3 linked regions of the Stegostoma tigrinum genome follow. The protein of the gene in region 3 interacts with the protein of the main gene of each other region in a pairwise test. Links are inferred from orthologs where the notes say so. Each region holds a gene or a part of one and is shown on either strand. Other genes may lie near its edges.

Region 1 (7,372 bases), on a different chromosome or scaffold from region 3:
GCCAATCAGAGAGCCCCAACTGACAGATATAAACAGGGGAATTAGAGACTCTCCTGACTTCAGGGAACAACTCTGAGCTGGCTCGTCACAGCCAGTGTATTGTGCACATGTAAATAAAAGGTGACTTGGTGACAGCATAGCAGTCTCTGCATAGTTATTTCAATAAAATCTGATTCGAATCTTAATTCTAAAGGGTTAAATAGATTATTGATTACCAAGGAACATCAGGATATATAGGAATGTAGAGCTGAGATTAAAATCAGATTAGCCACCAACTTATTGAATTGTATATCAGGCTCAAAGGGCCGAGTGGCCGACTCTTGATCCTTATATTTGCATATTTATAAGATGATATAATGTTTGTGAAAGGCCAACTTACACATGTAAATTTGTCACAGCTAGTGAGGCGGTATCGCTTTCCATATGCCACCACCTCCATGGCGACATTGAGGTCCTTCCAATGCCAGCAATCTCCTTGGTCATTCTTGGGGAGTCGCTGTCTGTTGATCAGTTTGCCCTGAGTTAGTCCAGAGTTATCCACTTCTGGCTCATGAATGGAAATACTGTCATCCTCCAGGTAATAGTACAGGATGATCGGTCGAACCCGATAATATTCATATGGGGATTCGTGAACTGTTTCCTTGAAATATCCGTCAAATTTCAACACCTGGTTAAAAATTGAGAGAACACTTTCACTGAAAGAATACAATGTGGGTGATGGGAGGCAGGACATGTGATTGAGGGAGAAGGCATGGTCCGTGAGAGGGGGGGCAATAGAAAATATGTTCAGCGGGCGAATGTTGAACAAATTACAAAAACATTACCTTCTTATCAAAAGCCACGTGCCCAGGAACGAAATCTGCTGGTGGGGCCTGTTTGGCCTGGCCATAGGTTAATGTTGGTTTTTTATTAGCCAATTCATCCACATCAGACAGAGACAGCTGATTGACATGGATTGGTTCCCCACCAATCCCAACCTTGGGCACAACAGGGACAGCAATGCCGTTCTTGTAGAAGAAAGTCTGTGATCGATGGAAGTTAGACTTCTAAAGACAATTAGAATGATAGAATTATCAAAACAGGAACAAGTAATTCATTCCTTTTTAAAGATAATCCCTAACTCGCCATCTTCTCCATGCCTCATTTGCATTCTTTCCTCAAAAACCCAATGAGATATAGGAGCAGGATTAATCCATTCGGCCCATTCCTTCATCGATGCTCTTCACCCTCACCGTCTGCTTCTCTCTCCCTCCAATAACCCCGTCTCTTTCTCTCTCTCCCTGATACTCTATCTCTCCATTACCCATCTCCCTCCTCCAATGACCCCCCCCCCCCCCCCGATGTCCCTCTCACCGTGGGGTCCCGGAAAGTATTGCCTGGGAGGAGTGGGAGCCCCCGCACAGGATAGCAGGACATTGCCTCTGCCCTGGCTGGCAATTCTCCCTCTCCTTCAACACAATCTATCTCTGTCTCACACTCTATCTCTCTGTCTCTCTTCTTTTTTCTCTCTCGCACACACACACACACACCCCTTTCTCTCCTACTTTCTCTCACTCACTCTGTCACATACACACTCTGTATCTCTCTTGTGCACACACCCTGTCTCTCTCTCTCTCTCTCACACACACACTCTCTCTCCTGTCTGTGGGTCTCTCTGTCTCTCTCTCTCACACACACACACACACACACACACACAGTCTCCCTGTCTCTGCGTCTCTCTCTCTCACACTCTCACTCTGTGTGTCTCTCTCTCTCACACACACACTCTGTCCCTCTGTCTGTGTCTCTCTGTCTCTCTCACACACACTCACACACACTGTCTCTCTCTCTCTCTGTGTCCCTCTATCCCTCTCTCATGCACACAAAACTGTCTTTCTGTATGTGTGTGTCTGCGTATGTGTGTGTCTCTCTCTCACACACACACTCCGTCTCTCTCTCTCTCACACACACACACACACACACACACACACACACACACACTCCGTCCCTCTCTCTGTATCTCTCTCTCGCACACACAGACAACACACACTGTGTCTCTCCCTCTCTCGCACACACACTCTGTCTCCCTCTCTCTGTGTCTCTCTGCCTCTTGCACACACTCTGTGTGTCTCTCTCTATCTGTCTCTCTCTCACACACACACACACACACACACTCTGTCTCTCTCTCTCTCTCACACACACACTCTATCTCTCTCTCACACACACACACTCTGTCTCTCTCTCACACACATACTCTGTCTCTCTCTCTGTGTCTCTCTCTCTCTCTGTGTCTCTGTCTCTCGCACACTCTCTGTGTGTGTCTCTCTCTCTCTCATACACACTCTGTCTCTCTCTCTCTCTGTCTCTCTCACACACACACTCTGTCTCTCTCCCACACACAGTGTCTCTCTCTCTCTGCCTCTGTCACCCACACACACTCTGTGTGTCTCTCTCTCACCCACACACACTGTCTCTCTCTGTGTCTCTCTCTCTCTCTCACCCACACACACTCTGTCTCTCTCTGTGTCTCTCTCTCACCCACACACACTGTCTCTTTCTGTGTCTGTCACCCACACACACTCTGTCTCTCTCTCTCACCCACACACACTCTGTCTCTGTCTGTGTTTCTCTGTCACCCACACACACTCTGTGTGTCTCTCTCTCACCCACACACACTCTGTCTCTCTCTCTCTCACCCACACACACTCTGGCTCTCTCTGTCACCCACACACACTCTGTCTCTCTGTGTCTCTCTGTCACCCACACACACTCTGTCTCTCTCTCTCTCACCCACACACACTCTGTCTCTCTGTGTCTCTCTGTCACCCACACACACTCTGTCTCTCTGTGTCTCTCTCTCACCCACTCACACTGTCTCTCTGTCTCTCACCCACACACACTCTCTCTCTCTGTCTCTCACCCACACACACTCTGTCTCTCTCTCTGTCTCTCACCCACACACACTCTGTCTCTCTCTCTCTCACCCACACACACTCGGTCTCTCTCTGTCACCCACACACACTCTGTCTCTCTCTCTCTCACCCACACACACACACTCTGTCTCTCTCGGTGATAACCGGTTTTTTCTTCTCGGTTTAGCTCCGAATCTGTTTCTATGGAAACAGTAAACAAGCCAGGCTCACTCGGCAACACGTCAATCCGAGGGCGGATTGGCTGAGAATCGGAGTCGCTTTTCTCCTTGTTTTTAACCACATTCCCATCTCCCAAATATTCCCAATCCTCAATCATTTCCTATTCCCAACAAACCCCATCTCCCAAATGTGCCCAATCCTCACTCATTCCCAATTCCCAACAATCCCCATTTCCCAAATATTCCCAATCCTCAATCATTCCCAATTCCCATCTCCCAAATAATCGAAATTCTCAATCATTTCCAATTCCCAACAATCCTCATTTCCTAAATATTCCCAATCCTCAATCATTTCCAATTTTCATTTCCCAAATATTCCTCATCCTCAATCATTCCCAATTCCAAACAATTCCCAGTTCCCAAATAGTGCCAATTCCAATTTCCCAATAGCAACTCCCAACTTCTATTTCCAATTCCAATCAGTCCTAGTCCCCAAGTATTCCATTTCCCAAATGTACCAAGTATTGATAATTCCCAAATGTTTCCAATTTCCAATCTCCAATCATTCTCAATTCCCATACACTCCTGTTCCCTAAATATCCCAAATTCCCCCAAAGTTCCTAATTCCTAAATATTCCCATTTATCAATGTATCCAATTCCCATTAATCAAAGTATTCTTGACCCCAAAATATTCCCAATCCCCAAATGTTCCCAATTATTCCTGATACCCAAATATTCTTGATCCCAATAATTCCTGATTCCCTTTTCTAAAATATTCCCAATTCCTAATTATTCCTGATCACTAAGAATTCCCAAATACCTAAGACTGTATTTTTGATCCAGAAAAGTGCTCAGTCAGCCTCAGATTATGTTGGAAGGGTATGGTATTAATTTTGAGCATCAGATGGCATTAGCCATTTATTTCTGCTCCTAAGCAGAAACAACAAGGGAACTGTTCACCACTAACACAATGTTGCTGATGAGCCAAAATGTTGTTCTGCATTCCATGCAATTGAGTAATTGGGCATATGAGATCCAGTGCTGTTGTGATTGGCAGATATGTAGGCTGTTAAATCCAAACAAGTGAAGGATTATATCAAACAGCTTGTCCCCTTGTCCGTCTGCAACAGGTAAACTGCTGACTGTACTCCACCAGACTGTGCATGCAAAACTCAGAACATATTTTCCAACATTAAATGGGATTCCACAAATGGATAACAATTGCTAAGAGACATAGATAAGCTGCAGAGCTGGGCTGAGAGGTGGCAAATGGAGTTTAATGCAGACAAATGTGAGGTGATGCACTTTGGTAGGAGTAACCAGAAGGCAAAGTACTGGGCTAATGGTAAGATTCTTGGTAGTGTAGATGAGCAGAGAGATCTCGGTGTCCACGTACACAGATCCTTGAAAGTTGCCACCCAGGTTGACAGGGCTGTTGAGAAGGCATACAGTGTTTTAGCTTTTATTAATAGAGGGATCGAGTTCCAGAGCCAAGAGGTTATGGTGAAGCTGTACAAAACTCTGGTGCGGCCGCACTTGGAGTATTGCGTACAGTTCTGGTCACCGCATTATAAAAAGGATGTGGAAGCAGGATGACATTAGTGGGTAGATGGGGGTGGGGCTTGAGGTGGCAGGAATGGTTAGAGAGGAGGGGACGAGCTAGGCTGGTTTTGGGATGCGGTGGGGGAAGGGGAGATTTTGAAGCTGGTGAAATCCACATTGATACCATTGGGCTGCAGGGTTCCCAAGCGGAATATGAGTTGCTGTTCCTGCAACCTTCGGGTGCAATCGTTGTGACACTGCAGGAGGCTGAGGATGGACATGTCACCTAAAGAATGGGAGGGGGAGTTAAAATGGTTCGCGACTGGGAGGTGCAGTTGTTTATTGCAAACCGAGCGGAGGTGTTCTGCAAAGCGGTCCCCAAGCCTCCGGTTGGTTTCCCCAATGTAGAGGAACGAGCCCAGTTCGTCCCCGCCTCCCTAACCTGTTCTTCCTCTCACCTATCCCCTTCTCCCACCTCAAGCCGCACCTCCATTTCCTACCTACTAACCTCATCCCGCCTCTTTGACCTGTCCGTCCTCCCCGGACTGACCTATCCCCTCCCCACCTATACTGTCCTCTCCACCTATCTTCTCCTCTATCCATCTTTGGTCTGCCTCCCCCTCTCTCTCTATTTATTTCTCTCCCCTTCCCCTTTTTAATGAAGAGTCTCAGCCCAAAACGTCAGCTTTTGTGCTCCTGAGATGCTGCTTGGCCTGCTGTGTTCATCCAGCTCCACACTTTGTTATCTTCCATCCATTGGCTCTAATTTACCAACTCTATAGGTCAGATGCTCAAAAAATTCTGGTAGATTTGTTAAACATGATTTCTCTTTCATAAATCCATGCTGACTCTATCTGATCATGTCACCATTTTCTAAGCATTCAGCTACTAAATCTTTTATAATGAACTCTAGCATTTTCCTTACTACCATCAGAGCAACCTCTATCACTCCTCCTTTTCCCTCTGCCTATGCTTTTAAATAGTGGCGTTACATTAGAAACCCTTCAATCCATAGGTAATGTTCCAGAGTCTATAGAACCTCGAAAGATGACCACAAATGCATCCTTGGACCATATCCTTAAACATTGTGGTATATTGATTATGGAGCCTTGGGGATTTATTGGCATTTAATCCTATCAATTTTCCCAAAACCATTTCTCTATTAATACTTATTTCCTTCACTTCCTCCTTACCATTGAAGCCCAGGTTTCCCAACACTTTTGCAGTGATATTGGAATCCTTTTTTTGTGAAGACAGAACCAAAATATTTATTTAATTGGCCTGTCATCTCTTTGTTTCCCGTTTTAACATCCCCTGTTTCTGAGTGTAAGGGATCTTCATTTGGCTTCACTAATTTTTTTGTACGTATCCCTCATACTTGGTGTCACACTCAATATTCCACTTCTTAATGAATCCCTTTGTCCTCATTGCTGAAATTTAAACTGCTCCCAATTTTCAAGACTGTTGCTTTTTTTTGTATTTGTATGCCCCTTCCTTAGATTTAATGATATCCCTCACTTCCCCTTGTTATCCACTGTTTCCATATGTTTTGTGGGCAGGAATGAGCAATTGTTGCAGTTTCTCCTTGCGCATTTTAAATTTTTGCCATTGCATATCCACTGTCATCTCTTCAAGTAACACTCCCCAATTTATCATAGATGCCTCAAACGTCATACCATTGTAGTTTCCTTTACTTAGATTCAGGGCCTAGTCTCAGAATCAACTGTGTCACTCTACATCCTAATGAAGAATACTATCATATTTTGATCACTCTTCCTCAAGGGCCTTGCACACTTAGATTGCCAATTATGCTTTTCTCAATACACAAGACCTGGCCTAGGATGGCCTGTTCTTTAGATAATAAAATGTGAGGCTGGATGAACACAGCAGGCCAAGCAGCATCTCAGGAGCACCTGAGATGCTGCTTGGCCTGCTGTGTTCATCCAGCCTCACATTTTATTATCTTGGAATTCTCCAGCATCTGCAGTTCCCATTATCTCTGGCCTGTTCTTTAGTTGGTTCTTCAATGCATTGGTCCAGAAAACCATCTCATTCATACTGCAGGAATTCCTCCTTTGTAATATTGTTTCCGATTTGATTCACCTACTCTATATATACATTAAAATTGCCCCTAATTACAGCTATAACTTAATTGCTTGTAAGTCCAATTTCTTGATTGACGCCTTCCTCAACGTTACTACTATTGTTTGGGAGTGGGGCTAAATACAACCTCCATTATTGTTTTTGAGTCTTGCTTTTAATTTCCCTCTTATTGTATGATAAGGTGTTCATTAGAATGACCTTTCAAAGCCACATCTCCTTCCTCAGTGTCCTGTCTACAGCTCCAATTTACCCCATGTGGTTATGGATTTCCAACTGAAGTTCATCTTTCATGGTTTGAATCAGATCAGAAGACACATGATACCAGACTATAGTCTAATAGGTTTATTTTAAATCACAAGCTTTTCATATTTCTGCTCCTTCATCAGGTGAAGTGGAGAGATAATTGCAAGATAATTCCAGGGAATTAAGAATGTCAAAAGGGTGTGAATGGAGCATTGACAGGCTGAATATCACATCTTGTCATTAGAATTAATCTTTCCAGCCACATCTCCGTCCTCAGTGTCTGTATCCAGCTCCAATTTACCCCATATGGATATGTATTCCATTCAGCCTGTTAACACTCCACTCACACCATTTGTACCATCTTTTGACATTCATAGTTACCTAGAATTACCTTGTAATTATGAAAGCTTGTG
Region 2 (7,019 bases), on a different chromosome or scaffold from region 3:
TTTCTAAATGATCATTCATTACATCCCTTATTGCAAATTCTAATATTTTCCCTGCAATTGAAATCAAACTTACTGGTCTGTACTTCTCCATTCTCCCTCTTCCTCCCTTCTTAAATAGTGGGATTACATTTGCTGCCTTCCAATCAGCAGGATAATCCCAGAGTCTAAAGAAATCTGAAAAATAACAGCAACACATGCACTATCTATACAGCTAAGATAATAAGGTGTAGAGCTGGATGAACACAGCAGGCCAAGCAACATCAGAGGAGCAGGAAAGCTGACATTTCGGGCCGAGACCCTTCTTCAGAAATGGGGGAGGGGAAGGGGATTCTGAAATAAATAGGGAGGGGTGGAGGTAGATAGAAGATGGATAGAGGAGAAGATACATGGAACAGAGACAGACCGGTCGAGCAGTTTCAAGGTCGAAGAGATTACGATAGAGTTGCAGCGGGAGAGAGATCCACTGAGGTTTTTCTGGAGGGAGGACGGTAACAACTTTAGGGTAGGCATCCTTAGAAGAGGTTTCGCAGTGGGGTTCAAGAGATAGTAGGAACTGCAGATGCTGGAGAATCTGAGATAGCAAGGTGTAGAACTGGATGCACACAACAGGGCCAAACAGCATCAGAGGAGCAGGAAGGCTGACGTTTTGGACCTGGACACTATTTATTTCAGAACCCCCTTCCCCTCCCCCATTTCTGAAGAAGGGTCTAGGCCCAAAACGTCAGCCTTCCTGCTCCTCTGATGCTGTTTGGCATGCTGTGTTCATCCCGCCCCACACTTTGTTATCTCAGATTCTCCAGCATCTGCAGTTCCTACTATCTCTTAAACAATTTTAACCCCAGTGCGAAGCCTCTTTTAAGGATGCCTATCTTGAAGCAGTTACCCTCCTCCCTCCGGAAAAGCCTCAGTGGATCTCTCTCCCACTGCAACTCTCTCGTATCCATCTTATATCCGCCTTCCCCTCTGTCCCTATTTATTTCAGAACCCCCTTCCCCATTTCTGAAGAAGGGTCTAGGCCTGAAACGTCAGCCTTCCTGCTCCTATGATGCTGCTTGGCCTGCTGTGTTCATCCAGCTCTACACCTTGTTATCTCAGATTCTCCAGCATCTGCAGTTCCTACTATCTCTTAAACTATCTATATAGCTACTTTGTTAAGCACTCTGGGGCAAAGCTCAGAGAGAGTAGGAACTGCCGACGCTGGAGCCTGAGATAACAAGGTGTGGAGCTGGAGGAACACAGCAGGCCAGGCAGCATCAGAGGAGCAGGAAAGCTTACATTTCTCTGAAAAAGGGTCCAGGCCGAAACATCAACTTTCCTGCTCCTCTGATGCTATCTGGCCTGCCGTGTTCCTCTAGCTCCACACCTTGTTATCTGGGGTAAAGCTCATCTGATCCTGGAAATTTATCAACAATTTTTCCCTCTTTCCCTCAGTCTCCCTCTTCCTCATTTATCACTTTCTCTTCAGCTAATTTTTCTCTCCCTTCCTCCAATTTCCTTTTCCCAGTCATGCACTCACCTCCTGTCTGCACCTCTCTCTTCCTGCCCCTCTCCAGTCTCTGTCTTTCTTCTCCCCCCTACCCAATCTCTGTCTTTTTCCTTCTTCTTCCCATTTCTCTCTCACATATTCCCCCAGTCTCTGGAAGATATAAAAAAAACCAAAGGGTCACCGGACCTGAAACATTAACTGTTTTTTCCTTCACAGATATTGCCAGACCTGCTGAGTTTTTCCAGCAACTTCTGTTTTTATTCCTGATTTACAGCATCCACAGTTCCTTCGGTTTTTATCTCGAAAATAGATATCCTCCTATCCCAAGGACTTTCCCCTCCGGTGATTAAAAATGTCCTCAGCCACATCTCTTGCATTTCCTGCTCTACTGACCTCAAACCGCACAGAACAAACATAAAGACAGAATTCCCCTTGTCCTCACATATCACCCCATCAACCTCCACATCTAGCACATCATCCGCCACTTCCACCATGTACAATCCGACTCCAAAACCAAAAAGATATTTTCCTCCCTACTCCTATCTGCCTTTCGTAGGGACCGCTCACTCCGGGAATCCCTCATCCACTCCGCTCTCCCCACTAACCCCCCAGTCTCTATTTCCTGCTCAGTCTCTCTCCCCACTCCACCACAGTCTCTCTTTCACCCAATCTCTCATTCCTGCCCCCCAGTCTCTCCCCCACCAACCCCACCGCAGTCTCTCTTTCCCCCACCCTCCCCTTCCCCCCCGATCTCTTCCCCACCCCACCCTCCCCTCCCCCCCCGATCTCTTCCCCACCCCACCCTCCCCTCCCCCCCCGATCTCTTCCCCACCCCACCCTCCCCTCCCCCCCCGATCTCTTCCCCACCCCACCCTCCCCTCCCCCCCCGATCTCTTCCCCACCCCACCCTCCCCTCCCCCCCCGATCTCTTCCCCACCCCACCCTCCCCTCCCCCCCCCGATCTCTTCCCCACCCCACCCTCCCCTCCCCCCCGATCTCTCCCCCCCCACCCTCCCCTCCCCCCCGATCTCTTCCCCACTCCACCCTCCCCTCCCCCCCGATCTCTCCCCCCTCACCCTCCCCTCCCCCCCCAATCTCTTCCCCACCCCACCCTCCCCTCCCCCAGTCTCTCCCCCACCCCACCCCACTCTCCCCTCCCCCAGTCTCTCCCCCACCCCACCCCACCCTCCCCTCCCCCCAGTCTCTCCCTAACCCCACCCTCCCCTCCCCCCAGTCTCTCCCTAACCCCACCCTCCCCTCCCCCAGTCTCTCCCCCACCCCACCCCACTCTCCCCTCCCCCAGTCTCTCCCCCACCCCACCCCACTCTCCCCTCCCCCAGTCTCTCCCCCACCCCACTCTCCCCTACCCCACCCCACTCTCCCCTCCCCAGTCTCTCCCCCACCCCACCCCACCCCACTCTCCCCCACCCCACCCCACTCTCCCCTCCCATCTCTCCCCCACCCCACGCTCCCCTCTCCCCCCAGTCTCTCCCTAACCCCACCCTCCCCTCCCCCCAGTCTCTCCCTAACCCCACCCTCCCCTCCCCCAGTCTCTCCCTAACCCCACCCTCCCCTCCCCCAGTCTCTCCCCCACCCCACCCCACTCTCCCCTCCCCCAGTCTCTCCCCCACCCCACCCCACCCTCCCCTCCCCCCAGTCTCTCCCTAACCCCACCCTCCCCTCCCCCCAGTCTCTCCCTAACCCCACCCTCCCCTCCCCCAGTCTCTCCCCCACCCCACCCCACTCTCCCCTCCCCCAGTCTCTCCCCCACCCCACCCCACTCTCCCCTCCCCCAGTCTCTCCCCCACCCCACTCTCCCCTACCCCACCCCACTCTCCCCTCCCCAGTCTCTCCCCCACCCCACCCCACCCCACTCTCCCCCACCCCACCCCACTCTCCCCTCCCCAGTCTCTCCCCCACCCCACCCCACCCCACTCTCCCCCACCCCACCCCACTCTCCCCTCCCCAGTCTCTCCCCCACCCCACCCCACCCCACTCTCCCCCACCCCACCCCACTCTCCCCTCCCATCTCTCCCCCACCCCACGCTCCCCTCTCCCCCCAGTCTCTCCCTAACCCCACCCTCCCCTCCCCCCAGTCTCTCCCTAACCCCACCCTCCCCTCCCCCAGTCTCTCCCCCACCCCACCCCTCTCCCCTCCCCCAGTCTCTCCCCCACCCCACCCCACTCTCCCCTCCCCCAGTCTCTCCCCCCCCCACCCCACTCTCCCCTCCCCAGTCTCTCCCCCCCCCACCCCACTCTCCCCTCCCCAGTCTCTCCCCCCCCACCCCACTCTCCCCTCCCCAGTCTCTCCCCCCCCACCCCACCCTCCCCTCCCCCCCCACCCCACCCTCCCCTCCCCCCCCACCCCACCCTCCCCTCCCCCCCAGTCTCTCCCCCACCCCACCCTCCCCTCCCCCCCAGTCTCTCCCCCACCCCACCCTCCCCTCCCCCCAGTCTCTCCCCCACCCCAGTCTCTCCCCTACCCCACCCTCCCCTCCCCTGTCTCTCCCTCACGACACCGTCCCCTTCCCTGTCTCTCCCCCAATCCTCTTCAGTGATTCTCCCTCATCTCCAGTCTCTTTCCCCCTCACTCCCCATCTCTCCCAGCCCCCGTCTCCGTCTCCCCCCCCCCGCGACTTCTTCTCTCTTCTTCCCTTTCACTTTCCTCCTTTTTCTTTCTCGCTCCCTGGTCATTCTCTCTGTTTATTTGCTGATTTCCCTCCCTCATTCCGCCATTACTCTCTATCCCTCTTTAGATTAATTTCTCTTTTCCGCCTTCTCTCTCTCTCTCGGAGCTCAGTTCCTGAAGGCCATTGTCCCTGGCCTGGGCCTCGCGTTCTCCCTTTCCCTCTTGGGGCTCCAGGCTGACGGTGACCCCGGCTTCAGGTAAGTGCCAGGGCCCGGGATACAAAGTGTCCAAGTCCGCGAGAGAGAAACATTGTTTCCGCAGGAGACGGACAGAAAAGTAGAGACCGACAGAGAAGGCTATACATACTCACTGTACGCACTCTCATTTACTGATTACCCTCACTGTACTCAACCTCTCACTGCATACCCTCACTGTACGCAACCTCACACTACACCCTCAATCACTGCATACCCTCCTACCTGTAAACCCTCACTGCACACTTACCAAATACATACCCATTGTTCACCCTCGCTGTGCACTCAACCATTGAACACCCTTGCCCACTGGAAACACACTTACTCACTGTACAAACACTAGCTAATTCTACCCCCATTGTGCACCCTGCCTCCCTTGTACACACTCACAGCAGTTCAGTTCGCAGTAACAGTTGGTGATTTTTGTGCTGAGGGACCATTGCAATGCCAGAGGGTCAGTACTGAGAAAGTACTGCATTGTTGCAGAGTCCGTACTGAGGCAGTACTACACTGTTGAAGGGTCAGTACTGAGCAAGTGCCACATAGTCAGGGGGTCAGTACTGAGGGAGTCGTGCACTGTTGAAGGGTCAATATTGAGAAAGTACTGCACTCTCGGATTGTTAGTACCGAGGGAGTGATGCACCATCGGATGTTTAGTACAGAGGAAGTGCCGCATTGTCAGAGGATCAGTAATGAGCGAATTCTCCATTGTTGGAGGTGCCTTCTTTCAGATAAGATGTTTGATGTAGGTTTCTTGTACTTTTGTTGGGTAGATGCAAGAGATTCCATGGCAATATTTGAGAATGGAAAGATACTTTAATCCATGAAACAACATCATAGAAACTGATAGGCTGGTTAGTAATACATTGTTGTTTGTGGAAGCTTGCTGTGCACGAATTGGTAGCTGCACTTCCTGCAGCTCAACAGTCTGGAGACATTCCACTCCCAAGCATCCTGGATGTCTGCCTCTTTCAAATAATGCTCTTTTTGCTCCCCTGTCATCCAGAGAGCCCTCCACCGCACCTGCTCCATTTTAGCTTTTATTAATAGAGGGATCGAGTTCCGGAACCAAGAAGTTATGGTGAAGCTGTACAAAACTCTGGTGCGGCCGCATGTGGAGTATTGTGTACAGTTCTGGTCACCGCATTATAAGAAGGATGTTTAAGCTTTGGAAAGGATGCAGAGGAGATTTACTAGGATGTTGCCTGGTATGGAGGGAAGGTCTTACAAGGAAAGGCTGAGGGACTTGAGGCTGTTTTCATTAGAGAGAAGAAGGTTGAGAGGTGACTTAATTGAAACATATAAAATAATCAGAGGGTTAGATAGGGTGGATAGGGAGAGCCTTTTTCCTAGGATGGTGACGGCGAGCACGAGGGGGCATAGCTTTAAATTGAGGGGTGAAAGATATAGGACAGATGTCAGAGGTAGTAGTTTCTTTACTCAGAGAGTGGTAAGGGAATGGAATGCTTTGCCTGCAACGGTAGTAGATTCACCAACTTTAGGTACATTTAAGTCGTCATTGGATAAGCATATGGACGTACATGCAATAGTGTAGGTTAGATGGGCTTGAGATCGATATGACAGGTCGGCACAACAGCGAGGGCCGAAGGGCCTGTACTGTGCTGTAATGTTCCTATGTTCTATTTCCACTACACAGCTCTTAACCACCCCTACCTCCAAACATAAGAAAGGTAGGGTCCCCCTTGTCATCATTTTCTACCCCATTAGCCTCTGCATCTAATGTATCATTCTCAAACGCTTTTGCCAATTCCAATTCGACCCCACCACTCAGAACATCTTCCACCCCCCATCCTTCTCTGCCTTCCACAAGGACCATTCCCTTTGCCACTCCTTAATTTGCACCACACTCCCTACCAACCACTCCAACCATCTGGTACCTTCCTCTGTAACTGTAAAAGATGCAACACCTGCCCACACACCACCTCCCTCATCTCCATTTGGGGCCCTAAACAGTCCTTTCAAGTGAGACAGAACTTCACTTGCATCTCCTCCAACCTAGCCTATTGCATCTGGTGTTCCCGATGTGTCTTCACTGCGTCGGTGAGACCAAATGTATACTAGGTGATTGCTTCGCCGAGCATCTTTATCTGGCCTGTAACAGCCAACCTTATCTCCTGGTCACTGTCCATTTCAACCCCCCACCCACTCCGTCTCTGACATGTCCATCCTTGACCTCCTCCAGTGTTGCAGCGACTCAGAACACAAATTTGAAGAACAACATCTCACCTTCTGCTTGGGCACCCTATCGACTGGAAGACTCAACATTGGCCTCCAATTTCAAATAACCTTCTCATCCATTCGCCAGCTCCCTTTCCAGCCTGACCTCCTCCCTTCCATTCCACCTTCTGACCCTTCCTTCCAGCCAACAACTGGATTCATCCCTCTCATTGACCAACCAGGTCCTATGGACTACCAGTGTCCACCTATCACCACCATTCCACGACACCCCTCCCCCAACTCCTGCCACTTTATCTGCAGCTCCTCCTACCCCCACATCCAGTCCTGAAGAAGGGTAATACCTAAAATGATGACTTCTCCTTTCCTCCAGATACTGCCTGGCTTGCTGTGTTCTTCTTGCCTCCTGTTGTCTACCTTTAAAAATATTTAATTGGCCCATGACCAGATTTGA
Region 3 (7,220 bases):
AATATACAGACACACTGAACAGAGCGTATGGATCTACAAAGGGCGGGGGGAGGCAGCCAGGACACTGGAACGGAGTTTCCCGGTGAACAGACAATGCTGGGATTTTAATGTCAGCCACCAGGACAATTTAATCGCGGTCTCTCTAACCTGGCAGCAAAAAGTTGCGTCCGAGCAGCTGGGAGAGCAACACCTTCACCCCCACGGCGTAGGTCCACAGAAACGCGGAGAGGGGCGACATTACAGCAACCGAGCGAGAGCAGTCGAGGAGGGTACAGCACGAGAACCGTCCCCCAGCGTGGAACACACTGAGCCGCACAGACGTTCCGCCGCACTAACAGTCCCACCTCCAATTCCTCCTACAACACAGCTCAAACCAACGCATTATAACAATCTTATAACAAAGTGTGGAGCTGGATGAACGCAAATCCCCTCCCCCCCACTGCATCCCAAAACCAGTCTCTGTGATAATGGGAACTGCAGATGCTGGAGAATCCAAGATAGCAAAGTGTGAAGCTGGATGAACACAGCAGGCCAAGCAGCATCTCAGGAGCACAAAAGCTGACGTTTCGGGCCTAGACCCTTCATCAGCCTGTCTCTGCCTCCCTAACCTGTTCTTCCTCTCACCCATCCCTTCCTCCCACCCCAAGCTGCACCTCCTTGACCTGTCCATCTTCCCTGGACTGACCTATCCCCTCCCTACCTCCCCACCTATACTCTCCTCTCCACCTATCTTCTTTTCTCTCCATCTTCAGTCCACCTCCCCCTCTCTCCCTATTTATTCCAGTTCCCTCCCCCCATCCCCCTCTCTGATGAAGGGTCTAGGCCCGAAACATCAGCTTTTGTGCTCCTGAGATGCTGCTTGGCCTGCTGTGTTCATCCAGCTTCACACTTTGTTATCTTGGATTCTCCAGCATCTGCAGTTCCCATTAGCACTCACACTCAAACCAACACATACCGAGCAGTGGCTGCACTCACCCAGGCATTGTATGTATGTGTGTGTACATTTATTTACAAATTACATATATCAATGGAAAGCATTGTGGATGCTGGAGATCTGAAATAAAAACAGACATTTCTGGACAAACTCAGCAGGTCTGGCAGCATCTGTGGAGAGGAAAGCAGAGGTAACTGAATTAGATGTGACTGAAAAATTTGCATTGGCCTTCCACAATCACATGATCCTGAGGCCCCAAAGCACTTTACAGCCAATGAAGCACTTTTGAAGTTTGAACGCTATTATAGGGAGCTAGAGGTCTTTTGGTGCAGTGTTAGTGTCCCTGAATCTGAGTCAGACTCTCTGCGTTCAAGTCTCACCAAAAGAAGGTTCATTCTCAGTGCCTTCAAAGTAGCTTGTGTATCAAGCTGCAGACCCTCCCGACATATGCCATCTATAGGCAGTAAAACTGGAAGACTGTTAGTCAGCTGTAAGATAGGAAGACAAAGTGGAGCCTCTGCTGGCTCTGCACTGCAGCATAAAAGTCAAAGTGCATCTGCTACAGCAACTCAGACTCCTTGAGGAGACAGGTTGCCTGATCAAGAGCCAGTGCAGATCACATTAATGGCTAACAGCCCAAGTTTGGATCTGTCTCAGATACATTTGGGACCTGAACAGTTTGCAGTTCTGCGGGTTGGACCAGTCTTTGAGTTTGCAAAATGTAGGGTACATCGCAGTCAATCAAGGCACAAGCTCACACAAAAACATGCTAGTTTACATTGGCTAATTCGCCTATCTTTGCAATGCTAGTTTAAAATATTGTGAGGACTCTGGGAAGAACATCTCTGCTATAATTTGAAATGGTGCTGAGGATTCTTTTACATCCACCAGATGACATCGGCTGGATCTTAGTTAAGTCTCATCTGAAAGAGATATATATTTATGTGGAGGAGAGGTTTCATTTAGCGAGGAATGAAATTAAAATACAGAGCGCTGTGTATTGTCATATCCCTATATCATGAAAAGGAAATAGAGGTGTTGGAACAGATGTTAAATAAATATATATATTTATAAAGGTGAAAGCAGAAATGAGAAGTTATAACTATCATAGAAATTCTAAGCAGGCTGTGGCTCTACTTAAGAGAAAAAAGACTTCATCAAATGTTGATTATTTCACCTACACACACACACAGATCTTCAACTGGTTTTTGCACTGGAACTTGGTGCAATTAAAAACCTGAGAGACAACGACAAATTCTAAATGGGAATCAAGACTTGTGGGAAATGCAAGCAACATCACATTTGTCTCAACTAAATCAAATTGAAGAATCTTTACTGTGGGTCTGATTTTAACTCACTCAGAACCTACTCACAGAGTCTGATCATTAACATAAATTAGGATAATTAACTCAACACGATATCACATTCAAAAAGCAAAATAGAGAGAGAAAGAAAGATGAGATGAATAGAGAGAGGCAAAACAGAAGGGAAAAGTGAAAAAAAACTTTTTTATGTTATGATGTTCAATGGACAAGTCCAAACTTTTGATGATATGGTATTTATCACATTAAGGTCAACTATTTAGTGCCTTCCAAGCATTACAGTGACAAGCTTTGAGGCATGATATTAGCATAGCAAAGCTTTTGGAAGAGCTGATCAATTAGGATTTATATATGTGTGGTATTAAAAAGATTTTCAACATGTAACTTGTCAGAGCACAAATTCATGGATTTTATATTACTTTAATAGTGAATCCTTGTTCAGTCTATTAGTACATAATATGTACATCCACCCATATTTTGCAGCAAAAAAATAGTGAAGCAACAAGTGCTCGCTATTATTAAAGTGTAAAATTGGACAATGATTTCTGATGCCTATACCAAAGTAGTTGAAAGCAAAATTTAGGATGTTGCTCTGATCCTCCAAAATCTATAATGACACCAGTATCCCACCAGAATTCCCATTATTGATGCACTTAAATTGACAGGAACCTGTTGTACTTACAGATATCCGCTAAACAGGGGATTGGGACTGACTGGATTGTCCCCGTAAAGAACCGGCATGGACCAATAGGCCAAATTACCTCCTTCTGCATCATTGTGACTCTATGAGTAAACATAAGGGAAACAGTTAGGAATTATCCAATTCAAAAGTACATTTTAAAGGTATGATAAATCTTAACCATTCTGGCCTTGTAAACAAACTTTTAACAGTGTAGAATTGCATTCCTTCAGTTTATAATTATTTGCGATGAACAGAAGTACTAGGACTAGGAGTAAGCAATTCAGCTCTTTAAGCCTGCTCCACTGTTTAATACAACCATAGCTGATCTCATTTCAGCCTGAATTGCAATTTCCTGCCTGGTCCCATAACTCTTCAACTCATTACTAATTAATAATCAGTCTATCTCCTCTCTAAACTTACTCATTGTCCCGGTATTGACCGCAGCCTACAGCAGCGAATACCACAGATTCAAGACCTTTTGAGAGAACTAATTTCTCCTACTGTTTTAAATCTAGTAGCCCTTCTCCTAAAATAATGACTTGTCATTCTAGATTGCCACAAATGAAGAAACACCTTTTCTACATCTGCTTTGTCAACCCGCTTTTTGATCGTTTTTACCTCAATTAGATCTCATCTCATTTTCATAAATGCCAAGAAATATGGGCATAAATTGCTCAATTTTTCTTCATAACGTAAACCCCTCATCTCCAGAATCAATCTAGTAGGCCTGCTCTAAACTACCTCCAATGCAACTACATCCCTCTTCAAGTAAGGGGTTGAAGATTACCAGCTGCAGTCTGACTAATGTCTTGTACAGTTACAACAACACCTCCTTACTCTTACACTCTACATCTTTAGCAATTAATGCCAAAATTCTTTTGCCTTTCTTATTACCTGCTGTACCAGTAAAATAGTTTTCTGTGTGAGCCATGCCCAAGGACACCCAGATCGCTTTGAAGCACTGAAGCACTATGAAGTTTCTCTACCTTTAGATAATACAAAGGCTTTAAATATCATGTCATTCTCTTACTCACAGCAATTTTTCCCTCAAGATCCTGAAAGTTTTGATTATATTCCAGCCCTACACTTCTCTTTGTGAGGCAACATCCACTCCACATCGACCTTGTCAAAATCCCTCAGGATCTCATCTGTTTCAATCATGTTGTCTATTGGTCTTCTGTCTGTGCACCATTCCCATAAGTGTTTTCTTGCCTTTATTATTTCTCATCTCCATTCAAACTATTTCCACATCCTGAACTTAGGCTCTCGACTCTATTGTGTTCCTGCTATCAATATCTAACAGAGCCAACCTTCCATTTTTTCCTAGCTACCTGTCCTTCCTGTATGTCTTATATCCTTCAAGATCCCCGTCTCTGTCATCCGATGACAAAACATTCGCTAAACCTTTTCACTTTGCACTCATCATGACAATTCACAAGAATTATCAATGTAAAGGGTAGACAACATTCATACTGTACAAGAGAGGGAGAGTTAGACACTGGTCAATGGTGGACACTGTGTTGTGAGAATATTACTGAATCTATACAACTAATGTATCCCTTTGGAAATCTTTCAGTTATAGATAATTCTTTTCTGCATAGGTTTGTATGTAACATTTATTGCGTAGATTTTTTTTCACTGTGCGGAAGCTACCAGTGTAGAACATTTCTACTACATTTTACTGTATACAATAGTATTGCATAAATTGTGTGACCTTCTGTCAAGGTTGACATTCAAGTTTCCCTACACTGAATGGGTAAATATTTCACCGTGTAGTTTTATATGGTTGTTCAGTGTAAAACCCATTCTACAGAGGATCCTCATAGCCATCAAATAACATTTATCTTATCAATCTAAGCTGATTTGAAACTACATTTTCAAGGTAAGGCCAGTATATAAACCATTACACAGCCCAGAAATGTTTGGAAGGATATGGGCCAGGAGCAGGCAGGCAGGCAGGACCAGTTTAATTTGGAATTATGCTCAGCATGGACTGAAGGGCCTGTTTCTGTGCTGTATGACTCTATGACTCCATTCCAAAAATGTGCCCGAGGTTTTTCACCAATTAGATGCTGGTGTTAGATCAAACAAGGAAATAATTTTTGTAAGTATCTGTTGGATCCACACAACTTCTGATTATATCCTTCCATCCCTTTTCTTCCCAAATATGTATCTGAGCAACTTATGAGCTCATTTGTATAAACCTCAGTGGTTTTCCCCGGTGATCTATCCCCTTTGGAAGAAAATGTTCTATTTGACTCATTTGTTTATTCTGAACTTCTAAACTTCATTTGGTATCCCCTGGTTTTTGTCAATTTCCTAATTCTCTTCAAAATTCCTTCAATTCCAAAGAAGAATTAAAACTTCGACGCCAACTGCCAAAACCATTACCCGGTATATCATTGATAATGGGAACTGCAGATGCTGGAGAATCCAAGATACCTGCTGTGTTCATCCAGCTTCACACTTTGTTAACCCGGTATATCATTCATGTCTTCATTACCCATCTTCCATATTTAACAACAGTTCAGAATAAAAACCGAAAGAACTACAGATGCTGTAAATCAGGAATAAAAACAAAGTTACTGGAAAGGCTGAGCAGGTCTGGCAGCATCGGTGAAGGAAAAAACAGAGTTAACGTTTCGGGTCTGGTGACCTCAGAACAGTCCTGAGGAAGGGTCACCAGATCCAACATGTTAACTCCGTTTTTCCCTTCACAGATGCTGCCAAACCTGCTGAGCTTTTCCAGCAACTTTGTTTTTGTTCCTGAAACAACAATTCAGGCTGAGCCACAGGGCAGGTTGAGCAAGTGCATGGAACTTTTGGGACCAAGGTGTCTAAATAGCAAAGAGCACAACCGTACAGTAACAAAATTAATCTTAAGCAAAAGTTGCTGGTTCAGCTTCCATTGCCGTTTTCGATGAAATTCTGATCACACTTCAACAGGGATGTGAAGACTTTGGAGAGGGAACTGAAAAAAATTTACAAGATTGGTCCCTTAGATGAGGGTCTTCAGTTACTTGCATTGACTGGAGAAGCTTGTGTTGTTCATCTTACAGAAGTTTGAGAGCAGACTTGATCATGTTGGAGCATGCCAAAAGCAGTGCCAGGCAGACCTAAAACTGAGGTGTTAACCCGATGAAGGTACAACACAGGACTACTTGTATGACAAACCACAAAATTAGATGCATTGGACAGAGATCCCACATCTAGCAAATCAGATGAAAGTTCTGCAATCCTGGGACAACCAATCCTGAACAGTGTTGGACAATTAAATAGCCAACAGGAAAATGACACTTCAAGGTGATAGAGCAATCTGAGAGTGGTCCCTTGCCTCTGTTCTCAACTGATAAGGCTGCAGACAAAGCTAATGTTTGAGTTACAAGAGTTTATCTCAACCATCTTATGGATACCCCAAGAGCTACCTCTTACAGCTGTCAGATAAGCCCATTAACTTCCATTCAATCAGTTCTGCCTGAAACGAGCTACTTAAATATAATGTTATGAAGAACAAGTCAAGGAGGAGGAGACGAGCTGGGCTGGTTTTGGGATGAAGTAGGGGGCGGGGACGAGCTGGGCTGGTTTTGGGATGCAGTGGGCGAAGGGGAGATTTTGAAGCTTGTGAAGTCAACATTGATACCATGGGGCTGCAGAGTTCCCAAGCAGAATATGAGTTGCTTATCCTGCAACCTTCGGGTGGCATCATTGTGGCACTGCAGGAGTCCCATGATGGACATGTCATCTAAAGAATGGGAGGGGGAGTGGAAATGGTTTGCGACTGGGAGGTGCAGTTGTTTATTGTGAACCGAGCGGAGGTGTTCTGCAAAGCGGTCCCGAAGCCTCCGCTTGGTTTCCCCAATGTAGAGGGAGCCACACCGGGTACAGTGGATGCAGTATAGCAAATTGGCAGATGTGCAGGTGAACATCTGCTTGATATGGAAAGTCACCTTGGGGCCTGGGATGGGGGTGAGGGAGGAGGTGTGGGGGCAAGTGTAGCACTTCCTGCGGTTGCAGGGGAAGGTGCTGCGTGTGGTGGGGCTGGAGGGGAGTGTGGAGCGGACAAAGGAGTCACGGAGAGAGTGGTCTCTCCGGAAAGCAGACAGGGGTGGGGATGGAAAAATGTCTTGGGTGGTGGGGTCGGATTGTAGATGGCGGAAGTGTCGGAGGATGATGCGTTGTATCCGGAGGTTGGTGGGATGGTATGTGAGGACTAGGGGGATTTTCTTTGGGCGGTTATTGCAGGGGCGGAGTGTGAGGGATGTGTTGCGTGAAATGCGGGAGA

Evidence for each region.
Region 1: the proteins of E3 SUMO-protein ligase ZBED1-like (region 3) and efhc1 interact in binary tests that used the Homo sapiens proteins (3 or more experiments, as listed by UniProt). The two-hybrid records come from large-scale screens. The link is inferred for Stegostoma tigrinum from reciprocal best matches to the Homo sapiens genes ZBED1 and EFHC1.
Region 2: the proteins of E3 SUMO-protein ligase ZBED1-like (region 3) and lrrc20 interact in binary tests that used the Homo sapiens proteins (3 or more experiments, as listed by UniProt). The two-hybrid records come from large-scale screens. The link is inferred for Stegostoma tigrinum from reciprocal best matches to the Homo sapiens genes ZBED1 and LRRC20.

The regions. Positions count from the first base shown.
Region 1 is NC_081362.1:98,695,432-98,702,803, reverse strand, and holds the start of efhc1 (EF-hand domain-containing protein 1), read right to left. Parts: upstream 3,084-7,372; 5' UTR 1,417-3,083; coding exon 1,354-1,416; intron 1,047-1,353; coding exon 825-1,046; intron 668-824; coding exon 380-667; intron 1-379. UniProt on the Homo sapiens protein: Microtubule inner protein (MIP) part of the dynein-decorated doublet microtubules (DMTs) in cilia axoneme, which is required for motile cilia beating.
Region 2 is NC_081390.1:940,794-947,812, forward strand, and holds the start of lrrc20 (leucine-rich repeat-containing protein 20), read left to right. Parts: upstream 1-3,991; 5' UTR 3,992-4,372; intron 4,373-4,619; exon of another isoform or gene 4,620-4,630; coding exon of another isoform or gene 4,631-4,662; exon of another isoform or gene 4,663-4,687; intron 4,688-7,019.
Region 3 is NC_081359.1:101,414,762-101,421,981, forward strand, and holds the start of E3 SUMO-protein ligase ZBED1-like, read right to left. Parts: upstream 3,041-7,220; 5' UTR 3,040-3,040; coding exon of another isoform or gene 2,939-3,039; intron 262-2,938; exon of another isoform or gene 239-261; coding exon of another isoform or gene 148-238; intron 1-147. Other genes in the region: dhrsx (dehydrogenase/reductase SDR family member on chromosome X), read right to left, coding at 2,939-3,039.